3 linked regions of the Arabidopsis thaliana genome follow. The protein of the gene in region 1 interacts with the protein of each later gene in a pairwise test. Each region holds a gene or a part of one and is shown on either strand. Other genes may lie near its edges. The genes, in order: AT4G30940, GSTU2 and AT3G13227.

The links.
Region 2: the proteins of AT4G30940 (region 1) and GSTU2 interact in a two-hybrid assay, tested with the Arabidopsis thaliana proteins (one large-scale study listed by BioGRID).
Region 3: the proteins of AT4G30940 (region 1) and AT3G13227 interact in a two-hybrid assay, tested with the Arabidopsis thaliana proteins (one large-scale study listed by BioGRID).

Annotation. Positions count from the first base shown.
Region 1 is NC_003075.7:15,052,339-15,057,445, forward strand, and holds AT4G30940 (BTB/POZ domain with WD40/YVTN repeat-like protein), read left to right. Parts: upstream 1-2,534; 5' UTR 2,535-2,810; coding exon 2,811-4,136; 3' UTR 4,137-4,607; downstream 4,608-5,107. Other genes in the region: WRKY32 (WRKY DNA-binding protein 32), read right to left, coding at 21-179, 265-920, 1,242-1,297, 1,390-1,570; FAD6 (fatty acid desaturase 6), read right to left, coding at 4,940-5,104. UniProt on the Arabidopsis thaliana protein: May act as a substrate-specific adapter of an E3 ubiquitin-protein ligase complex (CUL3-RBX1-BTB) which mediates the ubiquitination and subsequent proteasomal degradation of target proteins.
Region 2 is NC_003071.7:12,629,239-12,633,344, forward strand, and holds GSTU2 (glutathione S-transferase tau 2), read right to left. Parts: upstream 2,084-4,106; 5' UTR 1,995-2,083; coding exon 1,674-1,994; coding exon of another isoform or gene 1,669-1,673; intron 1,501-1,668; coding exon 1,144-1,500; 3' UTR 960-1,143; downstream 1-959. Other genes in the region: GSTU3 (glutathione S-transferase tau 3), read right to left, coding at 1-252; AT2G29485 (uncharacterized protein), read left to right, coding at 1,352-1,493, 1,669-1,736; GSTU1 (glutathione S-transferase TAU 1), read right to left, coding at 2,355-2,708, 2,802-3,122; AT2G29500 (HSP20-like chaperones superfamily protein), read right to left, coding at 4,041-4,106. UniProt on the Arabidopsis thaliana protein: May be involved in the conjugation of reduced glutathione to a wide number of exogenous and endogenous hydrophobic electrophiles and have a detoxification role against certain herbicides.
Region 3 is NC_003074.8:4,255,599-4,259,522, reverse strand, and holds AT3G13227 (serine-rich protein-like protein), read right to left. Parts: upstream 1,642-3,924; 5' UTR 1,496-1,641; coding exon 1,160-1,495; 3' UTR 875-1,159; downstream 1-874. Other genes in the region: AT3G13225 (WW domain-containing protein), read left to right, coding at 47-210, 306-423, 512-595; AT3G13224 (RNA-binding (RRM/RBD/RNP motifs) family protein), read right to left, coding at 2,902-3,441, 3,668-3,837.

The sequences.
Region 1 (5,107 bases):
ATGCGTTTAGTTTTCTAGACCTTGGATGAGGATTTCCTTTCACCATTTTCTGCCCGTATTTACGCCACCTGTATCCATCACCACAGATACCAACATCACCAGCTGCGTGTACTACGAATTTGTTTTTCTTTCCAGGTTTGGAGACAGAATCTGAACTCTGTGAGTTATCTTTTTTCAGTCTGAAAAATAGAGAGAAGAAAGTCTATTAATTTCATCTTTCAAAGTGAAGAGTAAGCACCGAAATGCAAAATTCTACAAACTTGCCTTCGTTTTGGCTCTGGTTCCTCCACAGCTTCGTTCTCACAGTGTCTTTTCCGGTCAACGAGTGTTTGCGACTCACAGATGTATTCTTTAGTAGAAGCAGACGGATCTGAACCGCTAGGAACAATTGATAGCTCTTCTACTACTGTATCATCCTCTGAAACAGGCCGGATAGCTGTTGTAACTCTAATCTCTCTCGGGGAGAAGCTAGTCTTCCGGGGAGGTTCATGAGTATGTAAACCTTTGTTAACAATCTCTACCACATTGCCTGAATCATTGGAGCATTCAATTTTTTTAGCACAACATTCAGTGTATGTACACCTGTAGTAACTCCGTGAGCCCTTGGGACTCTTAACCTGCTTCTGTCCATATTTTCTCCAATTATAACCATCACGAGCCGGTGTCCTAGGAACAGGAGTAACCGACAATCTGTTAACCACCGGCGAATCTGATCTTTGCTCTTGTTTAGTTGGAACTGAAACCAGTGGTAAATCTTGTGCGGTTGAAGCAGTTGCAGGATCCAAAGATAGACATGGCGTCACTGTCAATGAGTCTGACGATGCAGCCAGAGAAGGAGATGTTTCTACCTGACGATTCTCTTCCACTTCATCAACCGGCACAATCGCACTTACAACAGTTTCCTTGACGCTATCAGTCTCCTGCCAATGTGATACAAAAAGCAGTTAAATGTCATGCCTTGATAACAGTGATTCTTGTCCTCAGAATTGCCTAAGAAATCAGACACACTAAAATGTAACAGATCAAACTGATACAGATACAGATTGAACTTGGCCAAAGGTTAAAACCATTACGATTAATCCTATTCCCATGTTATTGTATAATCACTGAACGAGTAACATCGAAGACACTGAAATGAGTTAAACTTTACAAGTTCTAGCACAATCAATGTTAATGAGAGAATCAAAGTTGTAAGTGTTAAGAAAGTTTATGAATAGCAGAAGAGTCTGAAGCAAACTCACATTCACTTCTAATACATCTTCAACATTTGGTTCCACAGAGGAATTTTCTCGAACACCTGGTAAACTCAAACATCATTTCGTCAAAAAATAAAGTCTCGAATAAATAAATAAAAACCAATAAAGAATTTTGCGCAGAATAAACCGTTACCTTGAACCTGATCCTTGCCTAGGGTTTCTCGCACAGTCTCATCATGTAAATCTTCCATATCCGCACCAAGTGATTTTTCCTCGTCTCTGAATTGACTCAGTCCGTCCTTCTCCGGCTCCACTTTCTCGCTCTTCTCCACCGTGTATGTCTTAGCTTCGTCGATACCAGTGTCTTCTTCCATGGACGATTCTCTCTTGTCCTCTTTTTCTGTATCTCGTGGGTTTTGTCTGAAGAGAGTAAAAGAAAGAAACGAACAAATTCTCTAGGCAGACAAAAAGGTAGCCGCTTTCCGACCGACTGATCTCCGGAAGAAAACGCTGCGTTTTGGTCCTTTATTATGCCTTCTCTGCTTTAAAAGCAAAAGAAGAAAGAAAAAAAGATACCAAAAAAGAAAGAGAAAGAAGGGGCATTAATGTCTTTCAGTCTTTGTTTGACTGTAGATAGTTAAACCAACTCCGTTTATTTCTCCGTTAATCACCCCTGCGTCACGTCAAATCATTGACGTGTTCCGTTTAGTTTACTATGTAAAATTTATCTTAAGACTATCTAGGATGTTTGTTTGTTTATTATCATGTGATGTGGTGATAAATAGCATAATGAATATGGTCAATGTTCTACGAATTTTGATATATCAAAGGTAATTTTTTGTTGTGTTGATCCATCTAGTTTAGATCATGACTGACCCCGAAAAGATTAGTACAGTGGTAAATTACTTACTTTATAGAGGAAACAACTGCAAGAAAAGTGGAGTTTGTTTTGCGTTCTTCCAAAATAGTGACTGAAAGAGGAAAAACATATACGTACTTTAATGTATGATAAGACTCAGCACGAAAATAGCAAAATATTTCAATGGAAAAAACGAAATTGTTTGTATTCTTCATTTTCTTCAGGGCTTCTAATGGCCCCATTTCAGCATACAAAAAAAAGGATATGTTAATGGGATGATATCTATCTATATGGGCTTTAGAAACGTTATCATGGATCACGGTATTAGCTTTGAAATTACACGAAATCTCGACCGCAGGATAGACGACAATATCTAAAAGCATCTGACGGTAGTAACACGAGTATTGTCTCTAGTAGGTCCCACCATGTTCCAGTTGGGTTTCTTACGTTTTAAATGCCCGAGCAACGGAAAAATGTCCGAGACCAAGACAGATCGTTTTATTTTCTCTTCTGGGAATCTCAGCTTTTTTTAAAAAAATATCCAGAGTCCAGATCATCGTATTCAATTTGATTAATCATAAATCAGATTTCATTTCGTTATCCTTTCCCAGGATTCAATTTCTTCGAATCCGATCGAATTTCGAATATTTTCAATCCGAGTTCGAGCGTTCATGGCTTCCTTGTCTTGTCATTAATGCTTTTGGTTCGAATCCATAAAAATCATTGATTTCACCTATTTTCAGAAATCAGAAATAATGGGTTTATCAAATGACAGGATCAAATTCAACGTTGGTGGCAGAATCTTCGAAACGACAGCGACAACGCTCGCTAACGCAGGTCGCGATTCCTTCTTCGGAGCATTATTCGACGAAAATTGGAATCTTTCACAACCCGGGGATCTCTTCATCGATAGGAATCCAGATTGCTTCGCTGTTCTTCTCGATCTTCTCCGAACAGGAGACTTAAACATCCCGCCTAATATCCCGGAGCGTCTCCTTCACAAAGAAGCAATGTTCTACGGCTTAATAGACCACTTACGAACCGCAAAGTGGGGACCTTTCGACGGTAACAGACTCCACCTATCTCGTTCCGTCACCGGCATAGCTCCTGGAGACGGAACGGCGATAAGAGCTGGTCCGGATGGTGGATGCTGCATAGCTCATGGGAGTGTCGTCCATGTCTTTGATTGGATGCTTGAGGAGCATCCAACGATTAATCTTGATTACCAGAGAGTGAACGATGTTGGTTGGATTGATTCTGGTAACATTGTACTCTCTGCTTGTGAGAGATTAGGAAGAGGAGATGGAGGAATGGGATTGTTTAGCTCATCTTCTGGTGAGCTTAGGTATAAGTTTCAGGTTAGTCATGATAATCAGGTTAAGAGTTATAGTGCTGGAGCTTTGAGTTTTAGTCCTGATTCTAAGATCTTTACGAGCTGTAAAGGAAGAAGTAATGAGTATGGGATTGGAGTTTGGGATCAAAGTACTGGAAAGCAAGTAGATTTCTTTTACGAGAGTCCTGGTTGGTCTTTAGGAGATGCTGATAAGTTGCAATGGTTGAGTGGTAAGAATTGTCTTCTTGTAGCTACTTTGTTTCCAAGGAAAGATAACTGTTATATTAGCTTGTTGGATTTCCGAGAGAAGAACATGGTCTGGTCTTGGTCTGATATCGGATTTCTTACAATGGCGGAAGAGAAGAGAGTGAGAGACGCGATAGCAATGGAAGAGAGCAATTCGATATGTGTGGTGAATGAGTTTGAAGATCTAGGGTTTATTGATCTGAGGATGGATGGAGGAGGGAGTAGTGTGAGGTGGAGTTCTAGGAGCAGGTTGATGAAAAGCAAGATGCCTGATGAGCCTTGTTACCCCAAACTTGCTTTGCATGAAGGCCAGCTCTTCTCGTCTATGAATGATTCCATCTCTGTGTTTTGTGGATCAGACTGGGTTTTGACTTCTAGGTTGAAAAGAAGCTATGGCGGCTCCATTTGTGATTTCTCTATTGGTGGGGATAGGTTGTTTGCATTGCACAGTGAGGAGAATGTGTTTGATGTGTGGGAGACTCTTCCTCCTCCCATCATCTGATTTCACATTTTGATATCTTGAGCTTAGTCTGGTCTGTTTCTGTTGCTTCTGGTTTGCTTCTTTTGTTAATGTTTTAGGGTTGTTAGAAAATATATAGGATGAGAGAAATAGCAATAGTCAAGAGAATATAAACATAGAGAACATGATCATAGACTTTTGTTAGGATTGATATTAATACGATTTTAAGTTTCCAGTTTCAGGTTGTGTTCTGTTTTGTCCTTATATGACTCTTTCTCAATGTAAAGAATTAATCCTCTTTTGACCTTTAGCTTTAAGCTCCTTTCATGGTGGTGTGAACTGTGACCACAGTCTCAGATTTCTAAAGATTTGATGATTCGCTCCCTTATTTTGGACATGTGAGTGTCTTTTGTTGGACAGTGAATGACTTTGTCTTTCCACTTTCCGTAAAGAAGTCCCAAGAATTTTGCTTTAGCTTTCTTTTCTCTCTTCACTTTTTCTTTTGGCTTTTTTCCCACGACTTTCTCGGAAATATTGCAGACACAGTAAGAAGATGATGTTTATATCTTCAAAGATTCTCATCAACTAAATTTTCATCACATTACAGTACATTGCAAACTATATAGACTGTTCAATCTTCTTATAGCTAAGAAACTGATAAAAGAATTGCAATCGCTGAGATAATTTGACCAGTTTCTCTCTTCTGATAAGATTGGAAAGAAGATAACAGTATAAAGCGTTGGTGAAGTGTTAGAGAAGCTCATCGCTTGGAAAGCTTACATATAACATCGGCGACTGCAAAAAGATATTGAGATTTCAAAAGACTAGTTTGAGACCATGGCGAATCAGGCTGTGTAGTTAGGCATTGCTTTCTTGAGGAAGGTTATTGGCTGAGATTCTTCAGGGGCTAACCGGTCAAAAGGAATGTAGTTCTCCTCTTTGTCATAGACATGACACACAGTCATTATCGTCTTCATCAATCGCCAGTTCCATGTAGCCAAGTTTGTATACTG
Region 2 (4,106 bases), on another chromosome or scaffold:
GTTTGTCCATGTTTGGTCGATGTATTCAAGGATCAGTTGTGACTCGGGTAATATTTTACCATTGTGAACCAAAACAGGGACTTTTTTGTAAACCGGGTTGAGTTGAAGTAGCAACGGGCTCTTGACAACCAAATAATCTTCGTCCAAGTAATCGTACGGCACGCCTTTAAGCTTGAGAGCCATCTCGACTCTACGACTGAATGGGCTTGCCCAAGACCCTATAAGCTTCACACCCTCTTCTTTCTCGGCCATTGAATAATCAATCTCTTTCCCTCTTTTTTATTTTTTATTTAACTAATCTTTATATATACTCTCATGTAAATTGTGCATGATTATAAAGGCATAAAGGAAAAGGAAAAGTCTTTTTTAGGCCATTTACTCCAATAATTAAGCATACTTTTCTAATTAGAGTTGTGAGGAACACTTAATTACAAGTTCAATGTATGTACATCATTCATGTGTATCATCCAAGAACATCTAGAAGGTAGTTGTTCATCATTGCCGTCACTTTCAAATGTGTTCATCATTTATCCTCACGCCTAAACATTTCAGCATGTGTTCAAAATATTAAGAATCCTCAAAAGTCAATATTTATGTCTAACTTTGACCATCTCTCTTTTTTTTTTTTTTGATAAATATTCTTTGAACATGTCTTTCATCTTTCACTTCCGATGTATTAGTTTTGGAGAGATATGTTAAATATTTGTTATTTCATTTCTTGAAGAAATTGAGTTACCAATGCTAATACAAAATTGGATAGACTAATAGAACCAGAATATCACTAAACTGAAATACTAACCAACAATACACAATAAACCAATACTAACCAACCATACGTTAATGTTCTTAACTTCTTATCAAACATCATGTAATCAATACCACACATCATGAAACAAATTAACTCATCATCCTATCGAACTTAGATTTACCATCTTTGCAATTTATTTTCCCTAAACCATAAATCAATATTTGTTATTATAGTTATAATAGGTAGCTTTCAACATTTCACTTTGCACCCATTAATTGATTTCCACTACCAATGCAGCTACATTCATTCTTTGTTTCAAATTTTTCAATAACAAAACGATACAAGCTGCACATAGTCATTATTTTAGAACACAGAGTTATGAAGTTATCATTAATTTAGAACGTAGACTTAGCTCTCTCTATAATTTTCTTCATACGCTCAATATGTTTCTCTTTTGGAGGTATACATTCCCTCACGATCTCAACTTCATTCAAGTTCTTGATCCATCTGTTTAATTCTGGAAACGTATCCTCTGGAGTCATATCAATCCCCAAACATTCCCAAGCCCGAGCAAGACAAAACGGGATCATACTTCCCGCAACCATGTCCAAGAATCCGATCGTCTTGCCACCAAAGAAATCTTTTCCAGTGACTTCCTTCTCAAGAAACATAAGCATTTCTCGAATCTCCTCAATAGCAACATCTATTCCCTTCTCTGCTTTTACTAGGGGCATGAAGCCAACTGGTAGGATCTGCAAGTTATTATACCAATCTATAAAAAAAAGTACTTAGAAAATTACTTTATCCTACAAATAATCCTGATATAAATGCTTGAAATGTAATGAACTTCTAATAACTCTCAAGTGTTTCTCATTTATTTTGCAATCAATATTATAAATCAATTTAATTAGTTAGACTAGAGTACCTGCTCATCAACGAACTTGGCCCAGAACCGAACCATGGCCTTCTCGTAGGGATCGTGAGGTAGAATTGGATTGTTATTCCAAGTTTGGTCGATGTATTCGAGGATCACATGTGACTCGGATAATAATTTATCATTGTGAACAAGAACCGGAACCTTCTTGTGAACCGGATTTAGTTCAAGAAGTAAAGTGCTCTTTTTGGGTAAGTCTTCTTCCAAGTACTCGTATGGTACGCCTTTAAGTTTGAGAGCCATCTCGACTCTACGACTAAAAGGGCTTATCCAAAACCCTAGAAGCTTCACACTCTCTTCTTTCTTCGCCATTAGATCTCTCTCTCTGACTCTCTCTGTCACTTTAAAAACAATATTGTGCTTTTTTTTGTAGTCTCAACTCTCAAGCTTATCTTGAAGATAAAAAAAAAAAAAAAGACATCAGTAAGGTAACCAAGTCACTGCTGAGGTCACTTTGGTTATTTTATTCTTATTTCCTTCTAGTCTTGGCTTTTACAATCTCCAGACACACCACGTTATTTGATTGCTGTAACTTTCAAATAGGTTTTTGATCTTTTTACTTAAATATTAGGTCATTCTATTTTTCGAAAAACTTTAAAAAATAAAAATATAAATAAAAAACGATGCAAGCATATAAATCAAATATTTTCGTAGGCAAGAAGTATCTTTAATTTAGGCAGACTTAATTGTCTCTGCAATTTTGGTCATGCGCTCAATTTGTTTCTCTCTTGGAGGAATACATCCCCTCACTGCCTCAACTTCTTCCAAATTCTTGATCCATCTATTTAATTCCGGAAACTTCTCCTCTGGAATCATATCAATTCCAATACCTTTCCAAAGTCTAGCTAGACAAAATGGGATCATACTTCCTGCGATCATGTCCAAGAATCCGATTGTCTTGCCACCGAAGAAATCTTTTCCAGTGACTTCTTTCTCAAGAAACATAAGCAGTTCCCGAGTCTCTTCAATAGCAACCTCTCTTCCTTTCTCTGCTTTTACAAGGGACCTAAACCCTAGTGTTAGGATCTGCAAGTAAAGAACAATATATAAACAAGCGAATAATATAATATTGTTCTGCATAGAATCAACTAATTAATCTGCAAATCAATATTAGTATACCTGGTCATCGATGAACTTGGCCCAAAATCGAGCCATGGCCTTCTCGTAAGGATCTTGAGGAAGAATTGGACTGTTCTTCCACGTCTGATCGATGTATTCGAGAATCAGATGTGACTCGAGTAATATTTTGTCATTGTGGACAAGAACCGGAACTTTCTTGTGAAGCGGGTTTAGCTCCAGAAGCAAAGGGGTCTTGTTGGGCAAATCTTCTTCCAAGTATTCGTATGGCACGCCTTTGAGTTTGAGAGCCATCTCGACTCGACGACTAAAAGGGCTTGCCCAAAACCCTAGAAGCTTCACACTCTCTTCTTTCTCCGCCATTCGATATCTCTCACTTTTTGGTATCTAACTCCTCTGTTTCTTGCACTACTTTTCTTTTTTATGTTTCGTTTACTTGCTTGATTACTTGAGTTTACTATATTCTATACACAAATGAAGTTATGGGTGGTGAAATAAACAAATAAATAAAAGGACCATTTTGCTTTCTCTTTGTCTTTGTATCCAAGGATATCTTGAAGATCACACCAGAAAAGGACTGATTTATATTTTAAGGTATGCACGTCATTGCCAACGTCATTCGTCTTAGTGTTTTAAGATATTTGACCAACACTTAGTGTTTCTAATCTCCAGTCAATTAGCCGACCAAGAAATAACAAATCTCCAAATGATTACGTTCTACAATTTATATTTTAAGATTCATATGTTGAAAAGTTTAAAACTGAGAGATTAATGTATCGACTGTATTTGTAAAACACACAACTTTTTTTGTTTTGAAGAGTCTATTTTTTGGCCAATTCATTGTCTGCCAAACATTTGAAATGAATGACATTGTAAAACAGAAGAAATATTCAGTTATCAAACAAAATGTTAATCATTTTGAAAGAAATGATGTAATAATCTAAATCAAAATATAACATTTATATAATGTGAACCTTTTCAGTTTTTGGGTTTGATTCCGTCTTGATTCACGGTATCGGTTGATTTGGTTTAGTTAAACCGAAATCGAACTCTAAGCGAAATCATCTCGTCGGTTAAACTTCTTTTGAATTTAGACAAAGGTTAATAATTATTATTTATTCCATACTTCATTAGGATCAAATGTATCCGATACATCATAATTCATAGCTCAATCGGAGATTATTATAATTTAGATAGAGTACTCACACACTCAAGTAAAACATGAACCATAACCATGACAAAAACACAAGCAACTCCGATGATAAAACTCGAACCCATTACTCAACCAGAGATCTGAATAGACTTAACATCAGCCTTCTTAGTCTCAGCCTTAGGCACCGTAACAGT
Region 3 (3,924 bases), on another chromosome or scaffold:
GATTCTCTTAGATCCAAAACTTAAAGGTGTCTCCACTTGTGCTCAGTGGAAAGCTGCGAAAGAGGAGCTAAACGATAGCGAAGAAGAAGAAGATGATTCCGAAATCCTAGATAGAAAAAGAAAACGAGAAATCGAAGAATGGAAATCTCGACAAATCGCAAGTGGAGAGGCTAAAGACAACGCAAATTTCCAACCCCTGGGTGGTGACTGGTTAGTTACTCTCTCTGTAATGCCAACATTTATTTATCTCCTCTCCCAGTAAAACATGATTTAATTAGTTAAATCTGGTTGTATGATGTGATTAGGCGTGAGAAAGTGAAACGGAAGAGAGAACGAGCTGAGAAGTCTCAGAAGAAAGACCCCGAAAAGCAGCAAAAACCTGATCTAACAAAACTCTCAGCAAATCTCCCGTCGGAATGGCAGGTATTAAGTTTCACCATTCCACTAGCGTTTGATTTGTAAATGAGTACGCAGTTGCTAAAACATTGTCACTTGACTATCTCTCTTGTAGGCATATTGGGACGAATCTACCAAAAAAGTTTACTATGGGAATACGAGTACATCTCAAACCAGTTGGACACGACCCACTACCTGAACCTCAATTGCTTTCTCGTCTCACATTTTTTACAATTTCTTCTGTGATACATTTGTTTTAGATTCTCTAATCTTACCTTTATGTAAATTTATTACAGAGCTAGTGTTGGTGACATATAGACAAAGCTAAATCAAGAAAATATCATTTTACCATTTCCCAATGCTAACGTAATACTATAATTTGTTCCCTTAATCCTATTCCCTAACGTGACTTGTATTGAGTGACAAGATTTGGAAACTCAATTTCTCCATATGTCCAAACACAATGTTTAAAACGACCGAGTAGCGCCGACTAGGTGCTCATAGACGTTGTACAAATCCAACCTTGCCGGCTGAACTATATGGTTTATGATTTGTTCTCTAGCATTCTCGTCTAGGCGGGTCTTGGCGCATTTTGTACTTTTAACCGATGCAAACAAAAATCACGATCATTTGAATTTATTTCATTTGTGCAAACAGCAAAGTGAATATCCAGAGATTTCTCGACTTATGCATTTTTGTATATACACAGACACATACGAGAATTTTAAATTGATGAGAAGAAACACATAATATATATTAATCATCACTTGGGAGAATTAGAGTCTCCACCAGCCAACATGGAAAGGTTAGAGGGAACGGATGTGCCACGAGACATCCCGAGTCCAGCGTTACGACGGTGGTAACGGCACCTGAAGGAGCCAGGGTGTGTAGTTGGTGCGCATAAACAGTTTTGCCTCACGCTCGATGACTTGCTCATACCTACCGAGCCACCGCCACCACCACCACCACGACGTACGCGTGGAGACATGTTGTAAGCTTCTTGTCTTTTAATGTCGTCTTGGCTTACGTCTGCTTCTGTCTCCTTAAGTTTGATCTTCATCATCATCCTCCTCTTTGCTTCTTCCTCTTTCCCTTCCATTTGTGTTTTTTCTTTTTCCTTCCCCTTCTTCTGTGTTTCTTTCTCTACCTTTTTACGAATAGAGAAAACTCTAAAAAATAGTCGGAATTGTGAAACTGGTGAAAGAAAAAAAGATTTGTAGAGTTATAAAAGAGAAGTTAATGTAAACATTATGTATCTAAAAATAGTGATTTTCCTTTGTGTCCTTTCTTTGCGGTTCTGAATATCCGAGGTTGTCGTTTTCTTTGCAGTAAAATCGTCAATTAAATAGAGAGATTTGGAATCGACCAAACAAAATATATGGAGATTTTGGAAAATCGTTTTTGCATTTCAAAAATAGATAGAATGGATTTCAGAACTTAAAATTCTAGGTGTAAAAACAATACGTTCGTTTACACTTTACTCTACTGCTAAGATCGGCCTTAAAGCATTGAGATTAAAATCATGTTTACACTTTACACCTTCGTTTTAATCACTAATTAAGATTATCAACTATGATTGGGTAGACCTTTTATGTATTATGTATTTTTGTCAACTCTTTTTAATGTGTCGTACGTGTGACACATTCGTCGTCATAAATTTTTGAAAACTTTGTCTTAGAATTGTCTCTTTGCTGTTTGTATCATTCAATCCTTGCACTTAAAACGTAAAAGAGTTTGGATTTCAATTAACTTATAAAAGCATGTACAATAAGTGATATTCATTTAATGATACAGTACATCATTTTGACGAGAAATTACAGATAACAAAACCCACATTATTAGAACCAATGTCTAACCAATTATCCGTGGCCCTTACCCGAAAAAATAAGGAAACAAGAACCAAATAACCATGCTTGTATAGATGATTTTCAAAAACATTTATAATTGATTTTACGTTTTCAAACACATACAATTCCAATTTGTAGCTAGAACCTACGTATGCAGCTGACAAAAATATGCCTACTTACACATGCACTAACTGCCGTCAAACCTTTGTTCAGCACAACAAAATGTACAGAGATACAAGAGACCACATAAAGCATTCAACTTGAGCTCTAAAGAATAGATGAGTGCACATTTTGCAGAGCTTCTTAAGCTAATTCGTATGATTGTGAAAACTAAGCTAAGCGAGTAATTGATCATCTAACAAGACTACCAAATGATAAATCATTCTTGTGCCAGTGAGAAACAAACTCCAAGCCCAAATATGCTAAAGTCTACATAACACAATCTAAGTTATAGAGATAAGACAACACTTAAATTAGGTAAACACACAACTAAAAGATGACTAATAAAAGCTTTTTGATGCTCTTCCTGTCCTTAGCAACCCTTCCTGATGTTGGCGCTACATGATAACTCTAGAATGCACCTAGAGCAATTGGAACAATCTAGAGGAACCTGTGAGAGAAGCTTCTATAGCTCCAACTGATTGCTATTACCTCGACCCTACCTTGCATACGGATGGTATCGACTACTGCTACTATAACCCCTCCCATATGGACCACCTGCTCCTTCATAACTGCCACCTGGGCCACCAGATTCATATGCACCGCCGTAACCAGGCCCACCATATCCCCCATAGCCTTCCCCTCCTCCACGAGGATATCCCAAATAGGCTCCTTCTCCTCCACGGCCATATCCCTCACCACCAAACCCACTCCCATAGGGTCCAAAACGACTAGAATAGCCAAGGGGTGGTTCATTCCGGTAACCTCCTAAACTACCACCCCCATAATTATTATAACCTCCTCCAAATTCAGGGCCTACACTGCCACGACCATACCCATATCCCCCAGCATATCTACTAGCAGGACCTCCATGTGACCTAATGGGACCTGGAGGATGACCATACCCTCCATCAAAACCTCCGTAAGGTCCACCATAACTTGCATAACTATCGTTAGAAGAACGACCTCTAGGGTGACTACCGTAAGAAGGAGGTGAACGGTTTAGAGATTTCTTTGGTTCAGCTTTCTTGATCTCCACCTACAACAAAGCAACTTAATTAACCTAGCTATGCTAAGGACCCAAACTATAGCAGGGATTTCCTATCTTACTGTGACAAGCTCCTTACATTTGGTAAGCTAGTGGGTAGAATTCTAACTAAGTTAAACGTGTATAATGAAAGGAACAAGGAGAAAATATCAAATTGAAACCAAGATAAATATGTCATCATGAACCAAAATTCTAATCCCCATTTGTACAAGCTTACCTGAGTGTCTGCCATATCGATCATGTTTCCTTTGGACAATAATTCATCTACGACTTCTTCGCTATCAAAAATTACAAAACCAAAACCTCTGGACCTGTTTGTTTCATGGTCTCGAATAACCTGGTGCTCCACCACGTTCCCATACTTGGCAAAGAAGTCCTTAAGTTCATCTGATCAACAGAAAAAGAAACCAACTTCAATAAGGACAGGAAACCAGCATTCTCATGGAAAGCAAAAAAATATCATGCCAAGAGGGA